Arabidopsis thaliana: one gene and its partners. The protein of the gene in region 2 interacts with the protein of the main gene of each other region in a pairwise test. Each region holds a gene or a part of one and is shown on either strand. Other genes may lie near its edges.

The links. Proteins that work in one complex are often made in the same cells at the same time.
Region 1: the proteins of ELIP2 (region 2) and ALE2 interact in a protein complementation assay, tested with the Arabidopsis thaliana proteins (one large-scale study listed by BioGRID).
Region 3: the proteins of ELIP2 (region 2) and CLE3 interact in a protein complementation assay, tested with the Arabidopsis thaliana proteins (one large-scale study listed by BioGRID).

What each region holds. Positions count from the first base shown.
Region 1 is NC_003071.7:8,753,579-8,764,552, forward strand, and holds ALE2 (Protein kinase superfamily protein), read right to left. Parts: upstream 6,721-10,974; 5' UTR 6,268-6,720; coding exon 6,195-6,267; intron 5,648-6,194; coding exon 5,543-5,647; intron 5,452-5,542; coding exon 5,341-5,451; intron 5,191-5,340; coding exon 4,822-5,190; intron 4,741-4,821; coding exon 4,483-4,740; intron 4,404-4,482; coding exon 4,014-4,403; intron 3,904-4,013; coding exon 3,678-3,903; intron 3,600-3,677; coding exon 2,897-3,599; 3' UTR 2,274-2,896; downstream 1-2,273. Other genes in the region: RIN13 (RPM1 interacting protein 13), read right to left, coding at 7,750-8,625, 8,714-8,800, 9,176-9,505. UniProt on the Arabidopsis thaliana protein: Required during the differentiation of the protoderm into shoots epidermis and cuticle.
Region 2 is NC_003075.7:8,415,759-8,421,858, forward strand, and holds ELIP2 (Chlorophyll A-B binding family protein), read left to right. Parts: upstream 1-2,483; 5' UTR 2,484-2,614; coding exon 2,615-2,749; intron 2,750-2,843; coding exon 2,844-2,945; intron 2,946-3,026; coding exon 3,027-3,371; 3' UTR 3,372-3,567; downstream 3,568-6,100. Other genes in the region: AT4G14695 (Uncharacterized protein family (UPF0041)), read left to right, coding at 4,075-4,129, 4,352-4,450, 4,537-4,589, 4,687-4,760, 5,039-5,087. UniProt on the Arabidopsis thaliana protein: Probably involved in the integration of pigments into the mature light-harvesting pigment-protein complexes.
Region 3 is NC_003070.9:1,901,704-1,908,571, forward strand, and holds CLE3 (CLAVATA3/ESR-RELATED 3), read left to right. Parts: upstream 1-4,214; 5' UTR 4,215-4,271; coding exon 4,272-4,523; 3' UTR 4,524-4,595; downstream 4,596-6,868. Other genes in the region: MEE5 (Ribosomal protein S5/Elongation factor G/III/V family protein), read left to right, coding at 1-1,014, 1,126-1,224, 1,338-1,496, 1,613-1,698, 1,783-1,981, 2,060-2,170, 2,262-2,468, 2,782-2,880; GTE4 (global transcription factor group E4), read left to right, coding at 5,923-6,868.

The DNA.
Region 1 (10,974 bases), on a different chromosome or scaffold from region 2:
CCTTCACCACATACTTGAGACTTAAGCAATAATTATTACAATTTTTTTTGTCACTTCCATGTGTCGATGTTACTTGCCGGTGAACATGGTTTATATTTATATCTTTTGCTGCTATATGATTAGAAAACAATAGTGAAACTGAAAAAGCCGGTGTTAGTTTCACTTTTTGATAGATTTTTATGTATTGGGATGAAAGAACAAAACTTTTGTGGTTTGTTTAAATTGCTATTGTTTTTTTCAATCATTCTTGTTTTATTTTTGCTATAAATTTTGTTTCTGCTTGGTCTTTATTATTATACTAAGTGATTAAGTTTAGAAGATCCAAAGAACAAACATAATTATTGGAACAAATATGCATGTCAATTGGGTTAGTCTGCAAAACCCGCATATATTTGATCTCGGTCCGTACAAATAAAAATTTATATTTTAAAGATCAACATGACCCTAACCGATACGGCTAGGCAAAAAAAAAAAATTGTAAATTATAAAATTTCTTAAAAAATAATTGTAGATGAATTGAGTCAATCAAAATTTAAATAACCGTTAAAGCCAATTTAATTTAGAAGATTTTCTTTTTTTTTAAATCAAATAAATTTAATTGAAATTTAAATAACCACTAAAGCCAATTCAGTTTATAATTTCTTTAATATTTTAACATGTTTTTATTTCCATCTTATGAGCATGATACATACTAGTCTTATATTTTAAGAAAAGTTATAGACTATTCATTAAAAAAAGAAATTGTTATATATTTACGTTTTATTAGGATTTTATCTTTGATTAATATTATAGAACGCAATATGTTTTCGATAAAGTCATTGAAAAAAACTCAATTTTAACAGTGTATAATGTTAAAAACATCTTTGTATCCACTAGAGTCAAAATAGTTTTTTCTAAAATTAGATATGCACAGACTCATCACGCGTGTGCCACTTGCACTAGAAGCATTTTGGATAGGAGGTGGTGAAGACATGAGACACTCTTTCATATGCTCATCCCTAGCAGTGGCTTCCACAAAGACTTGAAGACAAAGTTCACACCCTTTTTCAGCGAAAATGGTTTTGCATTTTTCTTTGAATGGTCGAGAGGGATGGTTCGGAACTGACATTGTTCAAAATAATCATCAATCAAACACCAACCCAACAAAAAAACAGAGAACAAGAAGATCATATAAGCTCAAGCCATACCGTGAAGGTGTTCTCGAACAGATTCGAATGATTTACAATGTTTGAAGCAAACCCCACACTAAGGCTGATGAATCGAATGGAACGCAATCTTGATGTGAAAAACATATTCTCTATAAGAATTGTACCTCTTGTAGCAAGCAACTCATTTCTTGGTTTTGCTCCCGCCGGCTTCCATGGCTTTCACACAACACAAACATGAAATTATGGTTTAGACACAAAAAACAAAACTCGGAATGATATGTTGGCTCAGTTGGTTTCTCTCTCTACTTAAGTGACTCATGAGGTTTTGTCTTCGGTACAATCCATTTTTTGTAACATTTTTCTTTTCTATATAACCACAAATATATTTTCTTCTTCTTTTTTGTTCGCTCATACGTCACATATACATATCAATTGGAAAATATTAACTCCTTATTTTCATTAGAAAATAAATCATTACAATTAAACTCAATACATATGACGATATGAGTTTCATAAGAAAGTAATATGAAAAACAATTGAGTATATAATTTTTTAGTATAAATTTTGCACGGTAATTTTGAAAATTTTAATAAATATTTAATTGATAATATAAGAAAAAAAACTAACTATTGATTAAAAATATTTAGCAATTAAAAAAAATTAACTTCTTAAAAAACTAACTATTAATATTATGAATACTAACTAGCAATTCTAGTTTCTTTGTTCTTTACTTTGGGTTCCAGTAGCATTCATTTCATGGTTCGTTTGGTCACGTTGATCTGATCAGTCAGATACTTAAATCGGACGTTCCTACATATTCCTCGATTAAAAATTATTTTGCTTTTGCCAATATAAACCAAACGCAAACGGATTTTAGCGTTTTGTCCTCAACTGTTATATCTCGAGAGATTAGATAGGTTTCATAATGTAGGCCCAATAAGACCTTATTAATTTTAAATTCAAAATTTTAAAATATTTTTTTCTCTTCCGTTTACTCAGCCACTGTGACCGTTGTTTGCTTAGCCCATAAATCGATTTTTGTGTTTATTGGGCCTACAGATTTTCTTTCTTTAGACTGTGTTGTATAACAAAATGAAGAAGACTCAGAAACTCGAAAGCAAGCTTCGGTTTGGCTGAAGTGGAAGGAGGAATTAAGAAGATATGGAGGAAGAAAGACAAACATATCAAATTATACTCTACGACTTTAAAGATCAACAATCCATGTCATTGTGTCCAATCTACAGAAGATACTAGAAATTAGAAAAGAATTACAACAGCTTTGACCAAGTGACTTGTTACCATTCACCAGCCAATTACTCTCAAGCCAGAATTTTATTTAACCAAAAAATATTTCGGATGTAAATTCAGAAAACCGGAAACTTAACAACGATGACCAAAAGCCAAATTTCTTAGGAACTTGAAAAACTAAAAAAAATTAGGTAATTACTAACTTCACTAAAATAAAATATATAAAAATGTTTTTTTGTGGGTGAGAGAGAAAAGGAGAGAACTAAATACAGGCGTCCTTCAAAATACAACCCTCCCTGTGCTTTTGCATCCTCGCAAAAACAAACAATTAAATCTCTATTGAGGATAATCATAACAACAAACAGCTCCTAAAAGAAATCAAACCGGAAATCTTTACCCAGATGAACCGAACCTGGCCGGATTAACCAGAACCTAACCATGCAGCTCAAGAGTTTGTGAGCCTCCTTTTCCCTTTTCTTCACTGTACATTTTCTGGTTTCTCAGAGCCAGTCACCATTGCCGGACCAGAGATGTCTAGACGACGACGGTCCACCGTGTTCGCTCATGCTTCCTCTCAGTCTAAAGAAGTTTCTTCTACTACGCATGGGTCTTAACGGACCTGATCTGTTTGGTAGAATAAGACCTCCTACTCTTGGAATGCTAGAGGCAGAGTGAGGCCGGTTCTCCATGTCCTCTAGTGGTCCTGAGCTATAATCCATTGTTATGAACGACGAAGCTTGACCATACCTTAACCGAGGTGTCAAATTCCACCAGCTGCTATCCGAAGGAGCCAGATCGCCTTTGAAGTCAGCAGAGTCTGGTACTGATGAGTCCTTTTGGCTGCAATAATCACCACAGGTCTCATCTGCATCGTTGTATATAAGTTTTAGTGCCTGCACAACTTCACCCATGAATGGTCTGTGTGAGACCTCTTGGTGGACGCACATGGAGGCAATCGCAGCCACTTTCGCCATGTCATCAAAGTTGTAGGTTCCAGCCAATGCAGGGTCCACCAGTTGCTCCAGGCCCTCTCTGTTGGCTAGTAAGGGTCTCGCCCATGTCACAAGGTTTTCCTCTCCCGAAGGTTGAGACATGTCTACTGGTCTTCTACCGGTTAGAAGCTCTAGTAGAACTACACCATAACTATAGACATCGCTTTTAACAAGGAGATGCCCCGTCATTGCATACTCAGGAGCCACGTACCTGAAATTATTTCCAGGGTAGTCACTGTAAGTCCAGAGTGTCTGTATTCATCATATTTGAGTTGGAAAGAAATTTTACCCAAAGGTCCCCATGACTCGAGTTGAAATATGTTGACTTCCTTCGGTTGCTTCTCTTGCCAGTCCAAAGTCTGAGACTTTTGGGGTAAAGTCATCTTCTAGGAGAACATTGCTAGCCTTGAAATCACGGTGGATTACTCGGGGATTTGAATCTTCATGGAGATAAGCCAGTCCTCTCGCTGCTCCAAGTGCAATCTTCAACCGCGCATCCCAATCAAGCGTTCCTTCTGTTTTGTCAACAACCGGAAAGCCAGGTTTTAGGTGGTGATGCAACGAGAAGTGATGGATATAATTGGGATATATTGTTATTAAAAGTGCAGAGAAAAGAATATGTCACCGTGTAAGTGGGACTCAACACTCCCATTGTGGACGAGCTCATAAATCAAGCAACGTGTACGACCTTCAATGCATATTCCAATCAGTTTCACAAGATTGCGGTGGTGCAAACGGCTTAGCATCTCGACTTCGGCAATAAATTCACGGTCTCGATTCTGATTGTCCCTAGTTAGCAGTTTCACTGCAACCTCAGTTCCATCTTCCATACTCCCCTGATAAACACGACCAAATCCGCCCTCGCCCAAAACCCTCTTGGCACTGAATCTATCAGTAGCCTTCTCAAGCTCGGAGAGTGTGAAGGTCTTAACTGATAAAGCACATGTAGCCATGGAAGACATCAAAGAATCTGAGCCTGAGCTTCTGGCGCTACTGGAAAACATAGATCCAGCACCTGCAAGGCGAATAAATTTTTCAGAAACAGGTTCTTTTAAAGCTATAGAAGCGTTAAGAAGTCAGAGGGTGAAAATTACCAGGCCTTTTGTTAATCGATGGAGCCAAAGCCGGACCAACAGCATTAGATGACTTCCCAATTTTCTTCCATTTCACGATTATAGAAATAGCTCCAACCAAAACCAGAATGAGGACAAAACCTGACAACGCAATAATTGCAATCGTTCTAAAACCTATTCCCTGGCTTTTGTTGGCAAAAGTTGTTGCATTGATCGGAATTGGAAGGCCTCCTGGAGCATCTCCAGTAACATCTCCATTTGGCGAAGAAGAAGGAATTCCTGAAGCAAGGTTAAGAAGTTCAAACTTTGAAATAAAACAAAAAAAAAGTAGAAACTTGCATCTGAATGAAATCAGTTTACCTGGATAACTTATGTGCGTAACCTCATAATCACCAAAAACAGTCTCATTTAGAGGTACTTTCTTGTGCCGGAATCTCTGATAAATAAGTGTTGCTGTAGTGTTGTCGAACTTTTCCCCAAGTGGAACAAGGTTAATATCCACCACTGTTTTCCCTTGATTTTCACTGTCGGCACTGGCACCCATTATTTTCACTTGGCTTTGTTCCAAGTATGTTCCAGCAGCAACCTCAATTTCTAACTCGTTGGTCACGGGGAAAATAGAAAAAGGTGCGACACTTAGTAGAAGCTGAACTTTCATGGGGAAGACACAACCACAAGGTGAACCAAAGGGAGTTGAAGTGAGAGGCTCCACACATGTCTGCTGACAGTCTATCAAAAGGAAAGCCGGAAATACACAGGAAAAAGTAGTTACTACGCTTGATTTATCAACTGAAGTCTGAAGAAAAAGTATTCATATAAAACATTATCGTTGCCACTATAATAGGACGCAGGATAACCAACAAGAAGCAAAAGAACTACCATGTGACGAAGGTGACACTGCAGTGGCATTGCGTCTTAAATGCCAGCGACGATGACGGTGATGACCCTTGTGCCTTAGTGGTGGAATGCGACTTGGGTTGGGGGAAAAAGCTAAAAAGGGAAAGACAATGAACAATGAATACTCCTAGACAGAAACATAATGACACTATGTTTAGGTGACAAATAGGATTCCCTTACTGACCTGGTGAAGGTGTAGGAGCAACTGATGGATTAAGATAAGGATGAAAGAAATGCATTTGATGCGCCTTTGATCGGGTAAATGGCAAACTCATCGGAAATAACCGAGCTGCAAATGATAAAGCAAGCTGATAAGTCATCTATAGATTCTTTCTACACATGTCGAATATTCATAGCAGTGAAAAGTTTCGAAAAAATAGAATGTTTCTAATAGTATGCATACTCCATCCTCCTCTCTTGGGTTTAAAAGTATAATGCCAACTGTAGAGGATAAAATTTGGCCAAGAGAATGTCACACAAAATCGATATTTCCTCAAGATACTCAGAAAAGAAAGAGTAAGATCTATGTGCATTCTAGCTATTAAAAGGTTGTGTGCCAATTAAGGCACAAAACGTGAGGACTTGATCTTCACTCTCACGCTTCACAATCACAGATTCCAAACTTAAATAATCTAAACTCTTTTGCTTACTTTGTACATAACCAAAATTAGCTTCTAAATATATCTAAATCCAATAAACAATTCTAAATATAGATAGACCACCAACTAATCTTGAGCTGTCAAAGTAAGAGCAACTTAACTAAAGGTTAATTTCTCCTATCAAAATCGTTTCCTAAATTTGAAAAGGGGAAAAGAAATTTGTTAACTAGTTCATACCAAAGCATATAGGAAACGAGGCGAGAGAGTGAAGAAGAAGAATTAACAGCAGAAGCATCGCAAAGTTCCGCATCTCTTATCTCAAATCAAAAACCACCATTAGTCAATAACGGAGACACCAAGCCTCGGCGAACACTCTCCGCCGATCAAAACGAAGACTAACCAGAACCAAAGGTGTAACCATATAGCTTCCTCAAAGCTTCACAGACATTGATTTCTCCCTCGTCCCGAAAAAAATTCAAAAACCCTAGGGTTAGAGAGAAGCGAGTAGGTTTTAACGCGATTTTGACAGATCCACGAAATGCGGCTCGAGATCTGTACAGAGCAGGGAAGCAGAGAACGAGAGCTTCTCCGACGATAGAGAGAACGAGAGCTTCTTCTCCGGCGAAGGTATCAGAGTGGTAGAGAGAGATTGGAAGCGAAGAGAGTAAAGTGAATTCGAAACCAGAAGAAGCGAAGAGAGAGAGAGAATTTAATGCTGATGGTGGGAAGGGGGCGTAGGGTAGTGTGTTGCCGTAGTGAGACTGCTTTCGGAGAAAGGCAAAAAAAAAAAAAAAAAAAAGGCGATGATGATGGCGTTAGCGAACACCGACGCGGTTTCGTATGCGCGTGGTGGCCACGCACATCGAAACGACAAAACTGGTGGCCGTTTGCTACCGTCACATCGACAAAACCGTTTCTTTTTTGGGCGTTAGTTGCCTTATTGGGCCGGGACTTACTTGAATTTTAGCCTACTAAACGGAATCGTTTTGGGTTTGATTTTTTTTTTTTTTTTTTTTTTAAAAAAAAAAAAAAAAAAAAATTAAAAACCCCAAATGGGCTGGGCTTGATTTCTATAAACTTGGAAACTAAGTATTTTCGGATTTTACTTTTGTTAAAAGTTTATTTTCGAAATATTTTACATTAAAAAGTAATAGTAATAATTCCACAAATGACAAGTATCAACTCTCAAAACTATTCCATTTTCGTGTTTGTTTCCAAAATTAATACTATATACTTGGCAAAATTTCCTATACTTTTAAGAAGACTTTATCAGTTATTTCCATTGTTTCTTTTTTTGGGTCAAAAATTCAATTGTTTCTAAAATATTAAAAGCTAACTAAATGATGGTAGAAGTAATTTTGATCCAAAATATAACAATGTTTTTCCGGTTTTGATAAATTTGGACTATTTGTCTATTAGGCAAAATAGAAGTTTGATCAAATTTAATCAAGACCATATGTGTGTGCCTCTTTCTATATCTATCGCTTTTCGATTGTTGATTGTCTTCTTTTACATTACATGGATATTTTCCCCTCCCTAATCATTTAAACAGGCAGTGATAATGATGGTATGTTTGATTTTTGACCTTAAAAAACTCAAATCAACAAACATTATTTATGTCAATTGGCAAACAGGTACTTTTTAGGACTTAATTTTATGATGTACTAGTAGCAGCTAATTAAATGATACACACAATCGAGATTGTAATAAACTACAGCACTCCCTCTACAAAATACAATCAGTGAAGAGAGTTAACCTAGGGACGGAGATACAAACTACCCTTATGAATCTTTCAATCATTCAAAAATGTTTCAAAATCAAATGACAACGTACTAGCATAGTCTTGATTTCCCGGTTCAGGTAACGGACTAACAGGGCCGGTTGGGTTAGGATTTTCCATTAGCCATTTCTCAAATTCCGATAGTTTGGTCTCCAAGACGTTTTCATTAATCCCTGGTTGCTGTTGTACCGTAGCTGTATGCGAATCTTCAGCAGTAAGAGGAGCTTTGGACGGAGCAAACCGATCCACATTTGTCTGAAACTGACGATTTCCACTACCACGTATGTTCTGGTCTGCATGTCGAGTGAACACGTTGCTCTGAGAACCAGGTAGCGCTGTGCAATGATCACGAACATTGCGTTGTTGAGTGTACGTTTCCGGGTTTAATGTAGGTGCCACTGTGGAAGAGCTATGGTGACTGGATTGTGAAACTTGAGCATTGTTAAATCGGATGCTGATACCATTTCCCGCAGAAGAGGCTACTCGGGATCGTAGGCTAAACCTATAAGAACTTCTATCCTTTTGGATCACGCTGTCGCGAACAGTGCTTAATGACTGTGCCGGTTGACTCTGCAACCCTTGATTGTGCGGAATCGGTTGCCTGATTCTATGCCTGGCTTTGACACTTGAAGGATTAGCAACACGGGTAGATGATGAACAAGGCCGGATCTCAACATGGTTTTTCCGAAGCAAAGTGTTTTTGGGTACCCGTAAAATACTTGGAGTAGGTTTTGAAGATGGTGCGGTAGGCATGTATCCTGTCCTGAAGTATTCACGTTGATTCTTCCATATCTTCTCTTTATCATTAGCATGACAATGATCTATGGAGGAGACAGCGATACACCAGTATGGACACGGAGCACGGATGTCACACACATAACAATGACACTTGAAAGAGAAACCAAATGAAAAGGATCAGCCAGGAAAAGAATCCATTAACGCTCCGTGTAGAATTAGAGAATATTTAGATACTTACCATGTCACAGTACTTCTCATGTGATGTTGAGTTGAACGCATACTTAGCACACGAATGTCGCGGATGAGGGAAATCTCTACATGCTATCTACAAAACAAAAAAAATGCTTTTTCATATTAGGAAAACTTAAGTGAACAACACTTGTATAAAGATGGAACACACCAAAGAAAAAAAGTTCATCAATGTTACACCGATTAAATTACAATAACACAAAACAGTTCAATAACTATCCATTCCTAAAACAGTTCCATCACCAAAGAAAAAAAGTTCATCAATGTTACAACGATTACTTTACAATAACACAAAACAGTTCAATAACTATCCATTCCTAAAACAGTTCCTCAGAGCTAAACAACACTAACGCATACATAATCTGAAATGAGAAACTCTGCCTTTCACACCAATTCGAATGAAGAAAACGAAAGAGAACTTAGAAATGAGAAGGGTTCAGTGAAAACATACCTCACCCTTTTGACCCACTACAAGCACATCATCATCATCGTCGTCGTCAACTGAAGTAGTCTCCCTCGTCTTGTCGGGATCACAGTCCAAAATCACACAGTCGTCATCATCTTCCAAAGCTTGATTCGACGAGTTTGGCTTCCGATACTGAGAATTTACACCACCTCTAACCTCAGAAAGAACCTCGACTATATCGGTACTGTCAGATGTATCATCGACGGGTTCCATAACACCGTTTAGCCAATCGGTGTATTCTACGTCTCCCCGTGTATCGACATCCTCTTCGCCTGAGCTCACATCGACTATATCAACATGATTACCCGAACCCATTGACAAAATTTTCGTAACTGATCGCAGAAATTCGCAGCGATTTTGAAGTAGAATCAGTTGGCATGTGAGAACACTATAATTCAGTAAATTGACCGAATTCTAATACCCGGGAAAAATCGAGGTAAGAAGAAGCAATGAAATGGAAACTTCGAGCTGAGAAATTAGGGTTTGGTTTGGAATCAAAAAGCGGATGTTGTACTGGTGGTGGTGACGATGAAATGACGAGTTTTGAACGGGTATATGATGAATATGGGCCTAATGGGCCTCAACTCAAAAGAATCTGGGCTGATTATAGAAATTGATGGATTTATATGTTTTTCATTGATTGTTCATTTGTTTGGTTTGATGATCAAATTCTTCCCAACCTTTTATGTAAAAACAATATTAAAACAAATCATTTTCTTTGCTTCAGAAAACAACTTTTAGGAAAACTCGTAATTTGTTGTAAGGAAACGGATGAAATATTTATGTAAGCAATACAATTCCCAAGACACAAAGTGCATGTGCGGCCTAGGGGGTCCTTCACTTCACGGTATCAATGCCTCAGCTTCCGCATCTCCTTATTAATATCCAACGTTTAGCGTGTTATGTGCACGTTCTAACAATATTTTCATGAAAATCAAACCCTAGAATTTGTTGATAAGTTTTTTTTATTATTATATAAATTTGTTGATATTTGTTTCAACTTGATTAGTAATTCGTACCATAGTGGTGGTATAAGTGTTATTATTTCAATCATAAAACCAGTACCAAAATTGGTAAAAACTGGCGATATATATTTTCAACTTTCTGTATTAATATTTTTTATTTCGTATAGCTATATTAGTATTGTTAACGATTTTTTTTACTAAACTTTTTCATTATTGTTAACAATCGGACGAATAATACATAATGTATTGCATTTAAGAACAAAATTAACATTAATGATTATTTTTTATTCAAGTCAAAGAGATCTCGTAAGAGTCAAATCGAACGGCTGAGATAGAAGGAAGAATGTAGCGCGTGAGAGAGACATTTAAAACAATATTCAACCGTTGGGTTTGGTAAAGCCACATTCAAAGTCAATTCCAAATTTTCAACGCTTACAAGTTTAGGACCTGAACTTTTAGTTTTTCATATATTGGTTAAAGACTTTTAATTTCTTTTAATTTTATCCATAACTTCTACAAAGTCAAATCTCGTAATCAACATTAACGTTCGTTAATACTATGAGGTAATCAAGTATAAGATTCATTTAAATTATTCCGGAATCCGAGTCATCCGATATTATGCTAGACCTGTTCTTTTCGTAAATTAAATATCTTTGACTTATAGATCTTGTAAGTACTTGATCCTAAACAAATTATTGATTGCTAAAAGTGTATATTGTGCAATCAAAATATTTTTAAGGTACATCGTGATATAATTGCTATAATTCTCTTACCACTATATTTGTTTCCTGGATGGTTTTTCCTTAAGTAGTAGCATTT
Region 2 (6,100 bases):
TTATATCTGAACTTTTGTTTCCTTTTTGACGGCGAAATAATTTGTTTAGTATAAGTTTTGTCCATTCTTTACAGGTCAAAAACATAATTAATACTAATAACGACGATATTTTAATGTTTCCTCTTGCATGAAAAAGCATTGAAAATGACGGAGTTGATTCACTTTATTGGTGGCTGCTTTGGGCTCACATTCAACATGTGCCAATTAAGAATTCTGAGGGTCGACCTACCCATCCTCATTCACTCATAGCGACAATTCAAAACAGATCTACTGGGGCTTTAAATAAGGGTAAGGCCTTGTTCCGAACTGGGCTTTAGTAAGATATTATAACATTTCTGTTCCAAATACAGTACATCAAAACTTGAATCTAACTTATATCAACTTCAATAATCATCAATTCATCAGTTAAAAAAACTCCTTCTTTCATGGTTTAGTTTATCAAAGATATGCATTTGATTTATAAGAAAACCCAAAGAGTATTTGTTACCTAGTCGTCCCCGGGTTTCACGGGGTTACAATAAGAGAAACAAAATGGGCCACATAATATTTATTTATTTAGTGATTCTGTCGTTTAAAAAAAAATTAGTTTAACACATTGTCAAAGTTTGAACTAAGGAACTTGTAACTCAAATACTGAAACTTTAACCATTAGACTACATTTTTATGCAAATTCGGCCAAAACTAAATAATAATATGATTAGCGGCCGCAAGCTTATGTTTTGCTTGCTTGGCCTTGTGGCCGGCTAAATAACCTAAGTATATAATCAATAAATTACATAAACGACCGGATAAATCAGAACTTAATTATAATGTTAAAAGTAATTAAATGAATGATGACCCTCGTCGTCTCTCCTCTTAAAACACAATAATCTCATAAATACAATTTTTATATGAAGTCTTCACAAACTACTATAAATTTCCCAAAGTTGTTCTCTCTCTTTGTCCACTCGAAGACTCATGGGGATAAGAAGGCACTCGTGTTATGGGCTTCGGGGCTTTTTATTGTTCGCCCTTTCGAGGACCTTCTCACATGTTTGGACTTTTGAGTCTAAATGCCTTATTTCCTCACGAATGACGTGAACATTTTTTCGTCCTGAACTCAAAAGTATCAATTACACACTTCACACTACTAATGGTCAAGTTTTTTCGTATTTGAAACTACAAATGTAAGTAATATATGCGATAAATTTATTATCCTCTGCTAGTAAAATCCATTAAAAAAAACTACCAATGTGGGTGTATGTTTTCTTTCAGTATATATAAAGAGTTTTCGCAGAGAGCACATATCGATGGTGGTACATCAAATCTGATCATTCATATCTAAATAATTGTTGTTGAGTTTTCTATATGTGTGGAACGTTAGATTGCTTAAGCTAGAAATTGACACAAGAGTTTGATCACCGAGTTCCTGCCTCCTGGCCTCTAACCGGTACGTCTCGGGTGGGAACTGTCTCCCACAACTTTTCACTATCAAGCAAAAAGTATTACAAGCACTAATAGAGGTTTCTCTTCTCCTTGTTACAAATTTAGAAATTAACTCACACACAAAAGACAATAGAAAAGGAGACTATACCGACACGAAGACTATGCCCATATCTTCACAATTGTGCTATTATTTACCGTTCTAATCTGGAAAAAAAAACAGCGCACGTAGGAGAATTGGGCACGAAGACATGAATGGGACACATAAAGGATCAAAAGAGTCATCATGGGTCTGCCATGATGAAAGTTAAGAAAGTTCCAATACGCGCGAAACAAGATTGAATGCGACTTCTCTCTATACCAAAAACGAATCTCCCAAGTCCCAAGTGAATATTGTGAGCCACTAACTTGTTATTAACATTTTGAGACAAAAAAAAAATTTGTACGTGTTTTTGCCAAACCCACTTGGCCATGACCAATCAGAAAAAGACAAGGAAGATGTGTATCTATGTGTAATGAGGAGGCCACGCCATCAGTTTACTTGCACTTTTCCAACTAGACGTGGCCTCTCACCGATCTCAACCTCACTTTCCTCTCATTTCTCAAATTTTATTGGCTACGTGTTTTTGTGTTTAGCGTTCAACCCAAATATCGATATATTCTTCTTTTTTTTTCACATTTTTAACGATTTCGAGCAAAATAATTCGATTTATTTGTATAATTTTAATATGGTAGTTTTACAAATAATGAAACGAATGACCAACTGATTTGTTAGGTGTTACAATAAATATGGAAAAAATCTCATAAGTTTGAAAACATTTATTCTGAGGAAACTTTTTCTTCCCCAAAAGAAAAAAAAAGTTTAAAGTGGAAAAAAGAAAAAAAAGGAATAAAAAGTTTGAATTCAGTTTTTTTCTTTTCTTTGATAGATTTCTTTCTACTTATTTATTACTCTACTACACACCACACAAAAACAAAAATAAAATAAGTAATCATAGTATCCCATAAATCAGTAAAGATAAATAAAATCCAGAAAATACTGGGCCTATCATTTTCCTTCACCAACTCTATAAATGAAGAGATAATCCTACAGTTACACCTCAAACCAACTCCATCTCACTTCTCAAGTCTTATAATTTATTCATTTCTCTCTTCTTCATCGATCTTCGGCTTTTAGAAAACCTAATCAGAAATGGCAACGGCGTCGTTTAACATGCAGTCAGTGTTCGCTGCTCCTTCCGGTGTATTGACTACACGCAACATCAGAAACACAAACCAACTCTTCTTCAAGAGGATTGCTCCGGTAGGAGTCAGATGCATGGCTCAGGTATATATACACTAACCTCATAGTCCTTCCACTTCCCTACGTTACTTATTTGACTTTTAATCCTGACCGTTCCTTACATTGACTATTTTTTTAGGGCGATCCTATCAAGGAAGATCCTTCTGTGCCCTCGACCTCGACTTCGGCCACTCCACCACAAATGCCACAGTCTCCTCCTCCACCAGTTAGCAAGCCTAAGGTATGATCTAATGATCAAAGTCATTAATATATATCACTAGCTAAAAAAATGAAGCTAATGAATAATTTTCTTATTGTCTAGGTGAGTACGAAGTTTGGAGATTTGCTAGCGTTTAGCGGTCCAGCACCCGAGAGGATCAACGGGAGACTAGCAATGGTTGGATTCGTGGCGGCCATCGCCATGGAGTTATCAAAGGGAGAAAACGTGTTTGCTCAGATCTCTGACGGTGGTGTCGGGTGGTTTCTAGGAACAACAGCGTTGTTGACGTTGGCATCGATGGTTCCGTTGTTCAAGGGAATAAGGGCAGAGGCAAAGTCAAAAGGGTTCATGACTTCAGACGCCGAGCTATGGAACGGTCGGTTTGCGATGCTCGGTCTCGTTGCGTTGGCCTTCACCGAGTACGTCACTGGTGGGACTCTAGTCTAAAGCTAAAGCTTTTTGTTTGCTAGTTTAAGGACAAATTTGGAGAATGATTATGTAACGCATAGATTGATTTAATACTATGAGTTTTAAACAGTGTGTCAACATGAATCAAAATTTAAAACCATGAAAAAAACATTATAAAAATTTATTTGAAAAAGTACTTCAAAAGTTTTCTTATAAGATAATGTGAATGGAGAAGAAGAAGTAAAAAATAAATTTTAGCTTCTATCCAAGGTTTGAGAGTTTATGCATTCTTTTGAAATGAATCAAGAGCCAAGAATAATTAATTATGCTCTTCCTTGTTATTATCGACCAATAGAGTCATCATGTGTCTGCCATAATGAAAGTAAAGCAAGTTCCAAGACGAAACGAAATTGAATGCGATTTCTCTCTAACAAATCACCTCATCTCAATTCTCAAGCCCATGGGTTAGTCTCATCAAAGCCCAATCAAAGCGTCAATGCTTCCCAAGAACAAAAAAAAATATATTAAGATGAACAAACAAAAAAACACTTAAAAGAGGAAAGATCTGGCCACTACAACACTACACGATAGTACGATCGATGAATATAATCGGAAAGATTTGAGTGGCTCAATTACATATTGCTTATACGACGTCGTTTTGAGTAGCATCATTTCGTTAATATTTATGTAGGAGACTGAAACAAGACAGAGAAAAGAGAATCTCCGAGGAAAACAAAAGTTGATGGCGACGTCTAAGCTTCAAGCTCTCTGGAATCACCCGGCAGGACCAAAGACAAGTGAGTTATCACATTGTTTCATCAATAATATATTACTCTTTCTTCTTCCGTTTCAATTAAGACTCTATTGAAACGTTACTATTGGAAAATGTTGAATTGTTTATAGTACAGTTCTTGACAAAAAAAAATCTATATCACTTTAAATCCTCTAATGAATAATATATTCTAATTGTAAACAGTTTCTCTCTTTTTTTGTTGTTGTTGTTGTTGGGTATTAATCAGTTCATTTCTGGGCTCCAACATTTAAGTGGGGTATAAGCATTGCTAACATTGCAGATTTCCAGAAACCTCCAGAAAATATTTCGTACCTTCAGCAAATTGGTAAATAACTACTACTCTTCAGAAATCTCTAATCTTTCTTGTTACAATTATTGTTATAAACATATTATCCATAATTATTGTATTAGCTGTGACATGCACTGGAATGATTTGGTGTCGTTGCAGCACTATAATTACTCCTGTAAGTTTTGTTTGCTTTTCGAGTTTTACTTTTGTGATTGGATTCTTGGTTTTGGTTTATCGATCTGATTCTTTGGACTTTTGTTTTTTTTTAACAGAAAAACTGGAACCTGTTTAGTGTTAATGTTGCTATGGCAGCTACAGGGATATACCAACTTACTCGCAAAATAAAGTGAGAATCAAACCCACTTTTTTGTTTTGCTTGTGTTTTAACATAGATAACAAATTCATCAGCTTACTATATAAAACATTTCTTTTGCTAAGTTAAACGCAATCAGAAAGGTTTGGTTTGGCGTTTACAATCAGCAAAGGAAATTTTGCTTAATATGTAATGCAAACAAAGAGTCGAAGCTATTTTAAACTCGATTTTTATGATGATTGTCTATGATAGTATGATTTTATCTTTTGATACATCAATGAAATGCTTATTAACTTTTTTTTTGATATTAGGTATGATTATGTATCTGAAGCAGAGGCTGCTGTTGAAATTGAAGGATGATGATGATGAAAAAGATGAAACATTTGACATGTGAAAATGTTCGTTCATTAGTACTGTCTTGTTAATGGACCTCTAGTAGCATATGCCAATGTTTGGATTTTTGTTAGATAGTGAATGGTACGTTACATGCTTGCTAAAGATTTTTATATTATTTGGGACAAGATTGATAGTTGAGTTTATGTAAGATTAATCAGTAATTAGATCAAAATAATAACTCTATATCTCTTAAAAATATGTTACCTCTTTATCAATGACTAGATGAGTACCCGCACTACGTGCGGGTTTACGTATTATTTACAAATTATTTTATATAATGTTTGTTCATATAAAGTAAAATTGAATGCATAGGTTTTGAAACATAAATATGATTTGTAATTGTTTTTGAAAAGCCCAACTATATTAGTTCATCTGAAAAACGAATGTGATTGAATTGTTTTTATTGTTGTTTTAGATTCTCAGTTTTTTTTTTGAATTTATATATCCTTGCTTTTTCAGTTATATGTATAGATTGTGAGACGGTGAAATTTTAGAAAATTTATTTCTTACACTAAAAATATAACATGTCTTTATTAATCATATCTCTGCATATTCAATCTAAGCATATTCAACTTGATGTTCTTGGAAAGTTTAGTTAAGTTCTTGTCATAATCTTATATCTTACGTATTAGTTATAAGGATAGCTCCTCAAATATCTTTCAAATTACTTGTTTTCTTAGCATAGATCTCGAAAAGCTTAGATATATTTAATCTGCATATTCATTTAGTTTCTTTCATAATAATCGTCTAATTTTTAGGCTAGGAATATGTGTAACATGTTTGGATTTTATCATCACTTTAGCCACTTAAGTGGATCTCAAAATTAAAGAGGATATATTGAATTAAAAAAATGTAAAAAGAGTGATGTTTCAAGTTCTCATTAATTATATTCTCATATTTTAGTTGTTATGTTGAATTAATTACTAATTATGTATTACTTATTTTATGAAGTATAGGTGGCAAGCTCTCATGTGCTG
Region 3 (6,868 bases), on a different chromosome or scaffold from region 2:
TTCACATTACAATCTTTTGCTAAAATGTATGCCAAGCTTCATGGTGTGGCCATGGACGTGGATAAGTTTGCATCTCGACTTTGGGGAGATGTATATTATCACTCTGATACTAGGGTATTCAAGAGAAGTCCTCCAGTAGGTGGTGGAGAAAGAGCATTTGTTCAGTTTATTCTGGAGCCCCTATACAAGATATACAGCCAAGTGATAGGTGAACATAAGAAGAGTGTAGAGACCACCCTTGCAGAATTAGGAGTGACTCTGAGTAATAGTGCATATAAGCTGAACGTCAGACCTCTACTTAGGTTAGCCTGTAGTTCAGTGTTTGGTTCGGCATCAGGGTTCACTGATATGTTGGTAAAGCACATTCCTTCACCCAGAGAGGCTGCAGCTAGGAAGGTCGACCATTCATATACCGGAACCAAAGATTCCCCCATTTATGAATCAATGGTAGAATGTGATCCATCTGGACCTCTCATGGTTAATGTGACAAAGTTGTACCCCAAATCAGATACTAGTGTTTTTGATGTGTTTGGAAGAGTTTATAGTGGTAGGCTTCAAACAGGGCAAAGCGTACGTGTACTAGGAGAAGGGTATTCACCTGAGGATGAGGAGGACATGACTATAAAAGAAGTGACGAAGCTATGGATATATCAAGCTAGGTATAGAATACCAGTAAGCAGTGCCCCTCCCGGTTCCTGGGTTTTAATTGAAGGTGTCGATGCATCCATCATGAAAACTGCGACTCTGTGTAATGCAAGCTATGATGAAGATGTCTACATATTCCGGGCTCTCCAATTTAATACCCTCCCAGTAGTCAAGACTGCAACTGAGCCTTTGAATCCTAGTGAGCTGCCTAAAATGGTGGAAGGGCTTAGGAAAATTAGCAAAAGCTATCCCCTTGCGATTACCAAAGTTGAGGAGTCTGGGGAACATACTATTCTAGGCACAGGTGAGTTGTACTTGGATTCAATCATGAAGGACCTCAGGGAGCTCTATTCAGAGGTCGAAGTAAAGGTATCTAATTGTATCTCTAATTTGGCTCTATGACTGTGATTCCGGTGTGCAAGCAAATTGCTGATTTGGCTGTTTGATAGCTAAGATCCTTTTGCTTTCTTAAATTTGTAGGTTGCAGATCCGGTGGTCTCCTTCTGTGAGACAGTGGTTGAATCTTCGTCGATGAAGTGTTTTGCTGAGACACCAAACAAAAAGAACAAAATAACTATGGTAAGAGATCTTCTTTTTCCACTATTATCTCTTATATATTAGACTGCGATGTTTGGTATGGTGCTCAAGCACAATTACTTTGTGAAAAATCTGATATCTGTTTCATGCTAAAGATTGCAGAGCCATTGGATAGAGGACTTGCAGAGGACATTGAGAATGGCGTTGTAAGCATTGACTGGAACAGAAAACAACTTGGTGACTTCTTCAGGACGAAATATGACTGGGATTTACTTGCTGCACGTTCCATCTGGGCTTTTGGCCCTGACAAACAGGTGAAATGCTTGTATTCTTAAAACACTGCAATCTGGGGTTTACTTTATCTTTATTGTTATGGTTGGTTTATGTCTGTTTTGACAATTTCATTGATTGTTGATTTTCGACTGATCAGGGGCCAAACATATTATTGGATGACACCCTTCCAACTGAGGTGGACAGGAACTTGATGATGGCAGTGAAAGACTCCATTGTTCAAGGGTAATCATCTTTCTTCTGTTACACTTTTCTTTTACTCGATTTTGTTGGCTTTAGCTAAGTGGCTTCGTTTTATTCCTCTTGCAGGTTCCAGTGGGGTGCTCGTGAAGGTCCCCTCTGTGATGAGCCCATCAGAAATGTAAAGTTCAAGATTGTTGATGCACGGATAGCACCAGAGCCATTGCATAGAGGATCTGGTCAGATGATTCCAACAGCAAGACGTGTTGCATATTCAGCTTTTCTAATGGCAACTCCAAGGCTAATGGAACCTGTCTACTATGTGGAGGTACATAATCCCTTTCCATTTTTGCTCGTCACATTTTTTCTCTTAAAATGATAACTAAGAGTTATGGTTTTGTCGCAGATACAAACACCAATCGACTGTGTAACTGCAATCTACACAGTTTTGTCACGTAGACGTGGGCATGTCACATCTGATGTTCCTCAACCCGGTACTCCAGCTTATATCGTGAAGGTTAGTTTTGTTTGTGTCTTTTCTCCTTACTTTGTTCCTGTTATTTGACTAAGTGATGATTCATTGAGTATATTCTTTGGTGTTGATGCAGGCCTTTCTGCCTGTGATAGAGTCCTTTGGGTTTGAGACAGATCTGAGGTACCACACTCAGGGACAAGCCTTTTGCCTATCTGTGTTTGATCACTGGGCCATTGTGCCAGGAGACCCTCTAGACAAAGCCATCCAGTTGCGCCCACTTGAGCCCGCTCCTATTCAGCATCTAGCTCGGGAATTCATGGTCAAGACCCGCCGTAGAAAGGTATTATGATTTCCTTTGTTTCAATGCACATCCCAAAACTTAGTGGGTTTCATGCGGTTAAAGATACGAATGAAACCATAAACTGATTTGTTACTCTAGTGTTTGGTTAAATGACCCCAGTAAACCCTCACAAACCAAAGGATCCCCGAAACTACTGTTTACAAACCCGGCCCTTGCTAATTACTCTTTAACCAAGTAACACCAGCTATAATTTGCTGGATACATCCTAGGCTAGTTATATTGTATGACTCGTTGGGTGTTTGGATCATCAGTTTCAGACTCTCACGATATGTATAATTTGTTGGTTATGCAGGGAATGAGCGAAGACGTCAGCGGAAATAAATTCTTTGATGAAGCGATGATGGTAGAGCTTGCCCAGCAAACAGGCGATCTCCATCTGCAGATGATTTGATGATCTCTGCACTTTTTTCATATAAATCGTGATTCAGGACTAGTAGTAGTATCTTCTCTTCTCTATATATGTGAAAGGAGAACAAGAAAATGTGGATCAGTTTTGTAATTGATGTGTCAAATTTACGTTGTAAGTTGAGAGATTTTAATGAACTCAACAGTCCACATGGTCACACTCACACATGACTCGCAAATAGTTGACAGGAAATGTTCACAAATTTTTGTAAAATTGTAAACTACTATTGGATTATGGGAAACTGAACTAGGTTATGACACTATCATTTATAAGATGATCTCATAGTTTGTTGTCTATATGATTAGTAATTATACATATGATACAGAGAACGTACGATCCAGATCCTATTTCCGCAAAGAGTTTTCTGCATAACTAAGATTTGATTCTTCAAAAATGCTAAATTTAAAGATAAACCAGGTCAATGGCACAAACCTATCTAGATATAAGTAAGTTTTTCTTCATAATTTAATTTAGTGCACACAGACGACTTATTTTACTCCAATGAAAATCGGTTAATTCGTCAAACGTCACTACTTGTCTCAAAGATTTGTTGTGCTTTACTATTTTCGTCTATTTCATGCTTCCATAATCAGCTTTTTACGTTGACGTGCTCTTTACAAATCGAAGTGGACGTGGCGGCAACCACTTATACTTATTATACATAGAATAAAGCTACAAAATATATAGTTAAGGCCCTGGTGGATTAATATATACATCGTTTAAGGTTTTAGATTGGTCTCCTCCACCTTATTTTATGTGCATTGCCAACTCTGAAAACGTCATGCCTTATCTTCATTGGTTATATCCATTTGGCTCCATCAACCAAACGACGATAATGATTTTCCACATATCCTATATACATTTGGGTTCGGTAGAATTACTACAATACTCAAATTGCTTTTAATTTATGTTTTAGTTTATGGAATATGAATTGTGAGTTTTTTAAAAAATAATCTCCCAATTAAATATTATTAGCTTTTAAGTTTCTATTTCAAGTGAAATCAGTTAGCTATGCATGTCATTCAATATAGACATAATTTTGTTTTCTTCCATTCGTTTTACAATTTTTAACTAACAGAAATTATACATTACGTCACTTACTACGTTCCCACTAAAAATAGAGGCAAATGCAATCAAGTGATGACGACCTTTCAAAAATAAATATTAAGAGATATATAAGAAGGGACTAGCTAGGTAGATATGACTAGATTCCAACTTAATTAACGTATTTAATTTCTGCATAGATGGACGTTAATTAGGACTTTAGCTTCTCTATAAATACCGTAGCTATTGAGCTTATATATGGAGATCACCCCCTTAAAATCTTCAAAGACTATATATCTCACCTTTAAGAACTAAGAGGAAGTTACATATATATGGCAAGTCTCAAGTTATGGGTTTGTTTGGTCCTGCTTCTAGTACTCGAATTGACATCGGTGCACGAATGTCGACCATTGGTTGCCGAAGAGAGATTTTCTGGTTCAAGTCGTTTGAAAAAGATAAGACGTGAACTTTTTGAGAGGTTAAAAGAGATGAAGGGGAGATCAGAAGGCGAAGAGACGATCCTTGGAAATACTCTTGACTCAAAGCGGCTTAGTCCCGGTGGTCCTGACCCGAGGCATCACTGACACTGACCATAGAAGAATGCAAAAAAAAATGTGTAATGTAACATTTTTGGGAGAGTTTTAATATGATATTACAACTTTTTAACTTATAATGTAATATTCTTATGCTGTAGTTAATTTTCTGTCTTTCCACTAATGAAGCATTTCTGTTTACATGATCTCGTTTTTATGTAGTTCCTGCATGCATCTTTCTTTAGCAAATATGTTCTATTTAAAAAAGCAGCATGTTATGCTTATTTTGAGAGCTATTCCCATTTTCACTAAATATGAGTTCATACTATTCAAGTTAATTAAAAAACACCATTTAGCTTATTTCTTATATCTAAAATTCACAATTATAACTAACAAATAATTACATAGATATACTATATAACATATATCAACATCACTTAGTTTGTATTTGAAATAATCAATCTATATACTAAAAAAAGAAAAACATTACCTTTATAACAAAAAATGAGTGAAACTTTAATGGAATTTTTCACCAGCAGAAATATAGTGAATCTAAAAGCATTCAAAATTTTCTGAAGCAAGATTTTTTTTTTTCAATTGCTTGTCAGCATCACATATTTGTCAGAAATAATGAATAAACTTGACAAAAAATCTTGCTTTAGAAAATATACAAATATTACAATACATATACAAAATATACTAACTTTAAATATTAATTTAATTAGTACCAGATTTAAGAAAAAAATCATTCAAAATTATAAATTGTTTTATTTATTTTACTTGAGTTCTCTCTCTTTTTTGTTGTTGTTGATTACAGATGTAAATGTTTATGGGTAGAGCTTCTTTATGATATACGCGAAATTGATTAGTTTTTAGGCCCAAACCTAAAAAGCATTCCGGGTCGGGTAAACGAGCCAAATCTAAACGCTGGTTCTTTTCTTCTCCTTCTTCTTCCTCTCGCTCTTGCGGCGCCTTCTCTCTCCCAAACTCGCAGGTAACAAAGCTTCCTTCAATTTCTCCTTTTTCAGATCAATCAATTTCCTTCTCTGGTTCCCTTTCCTGACGCAAGTTTCCTCCTTTGGTTTTTGTCGATCTCTAAGCTCAGACAGAGATTCGAATGACCTAATTGTATCCCGTCTTATCGAGACTTTACACAGATTCTTCTGGGATTTTATCTTACACAGTCGTTATCTACTTGTTGCGTCCAATTGATTTCTCTGAATCAGAAACCCTAATTTCGTGGGTCTTGTGCAGTCTCTAAAGTTTGCACACTCTCTCAGAATCGAGCCAAGGTTTCGTCTAGAAATTAGGGTTTCTTAGTTTTTTCATGGTGGAGGATATATTTTAGGCCGATTTGAGGGCTTTCCATCAGTTTTAAACGGAGGAAGTGACGAAAAAGCATCAATCGAGAGCAATTAAGGCGTGAAATTAGGGTTTCTGAAGTATATGTATGGCTTCGGAGCCTGTTAACGGAGGAGAAGGTATCGATGGAGCTAGAGAGAAGCAAATCATCAAAGTTTATAAGAGGAAAGGCAAAGGTCAAAGAAAACAGTCATCTTTCTTTGCCCTTGAGGCTGCCATCGAGAAACCTGAGGGGCTATTAGAAAACGAGAATGATAACAATGATGTGAGTCCTGCCGAAACTCTAGCTCCAGAGTTTGAGGATCCTATAGTTGTGGTGAAGAATTCTATCGAAGAGGCTGCTCTTGGGACTAATTCTCATGGAGACAAAAACTTAACTGAAGCGCCTTCTGAAAACCTGCCTGGTGATGATTCAGACAAAGTCATTGACAAGCCTCTTGTCGAAGCATTTTCTCAAGCTCAACCACAGGATGATGCCAGTTTGGCCGCTATGGACAAGTCTGAAGAAGTACCTTCTCAGATCCCCAAAGCTCAAGATGATGTCAATACAGTGGTTGTTGATGAAAACTCTATCAAGGAACCTCCTAAAAGCCTTGCCCAAGAAGATGTTACCACTGTGATTGTTGACAAGAACCCTATCGAAGCACCTTCTCAAACCCTATCCCTGGAAGATGGTGATACTCTTGTTGTTGACAAGAATCCCATTGAAGTGTCTTCTGAGGAAGATGTCCACGTGATAGATGCAGATAATCTAATAAAAGAAGCTCATCCTGAAAACTTTGTGGAAAGAGATACCACTGATGCCCAACAGCCCGCTGGGCTTACCTCTGATTCTGCTCATGCTACTGCTGCTGGAAGCATGCCAATGGAGGAGGACGCAGATGGACGTATTAGGATACATGTAGCCTCCACAACGAAGCAACAGAAAGAGGAGATCAGGAAGAAGCTTGAAGATCAGCTTAACGTAGTCAGAGGAATGGTAAAGAAGATAGAGGATAAAGAGGGCGAGATTGGTGCATATAACGATTCTCGTG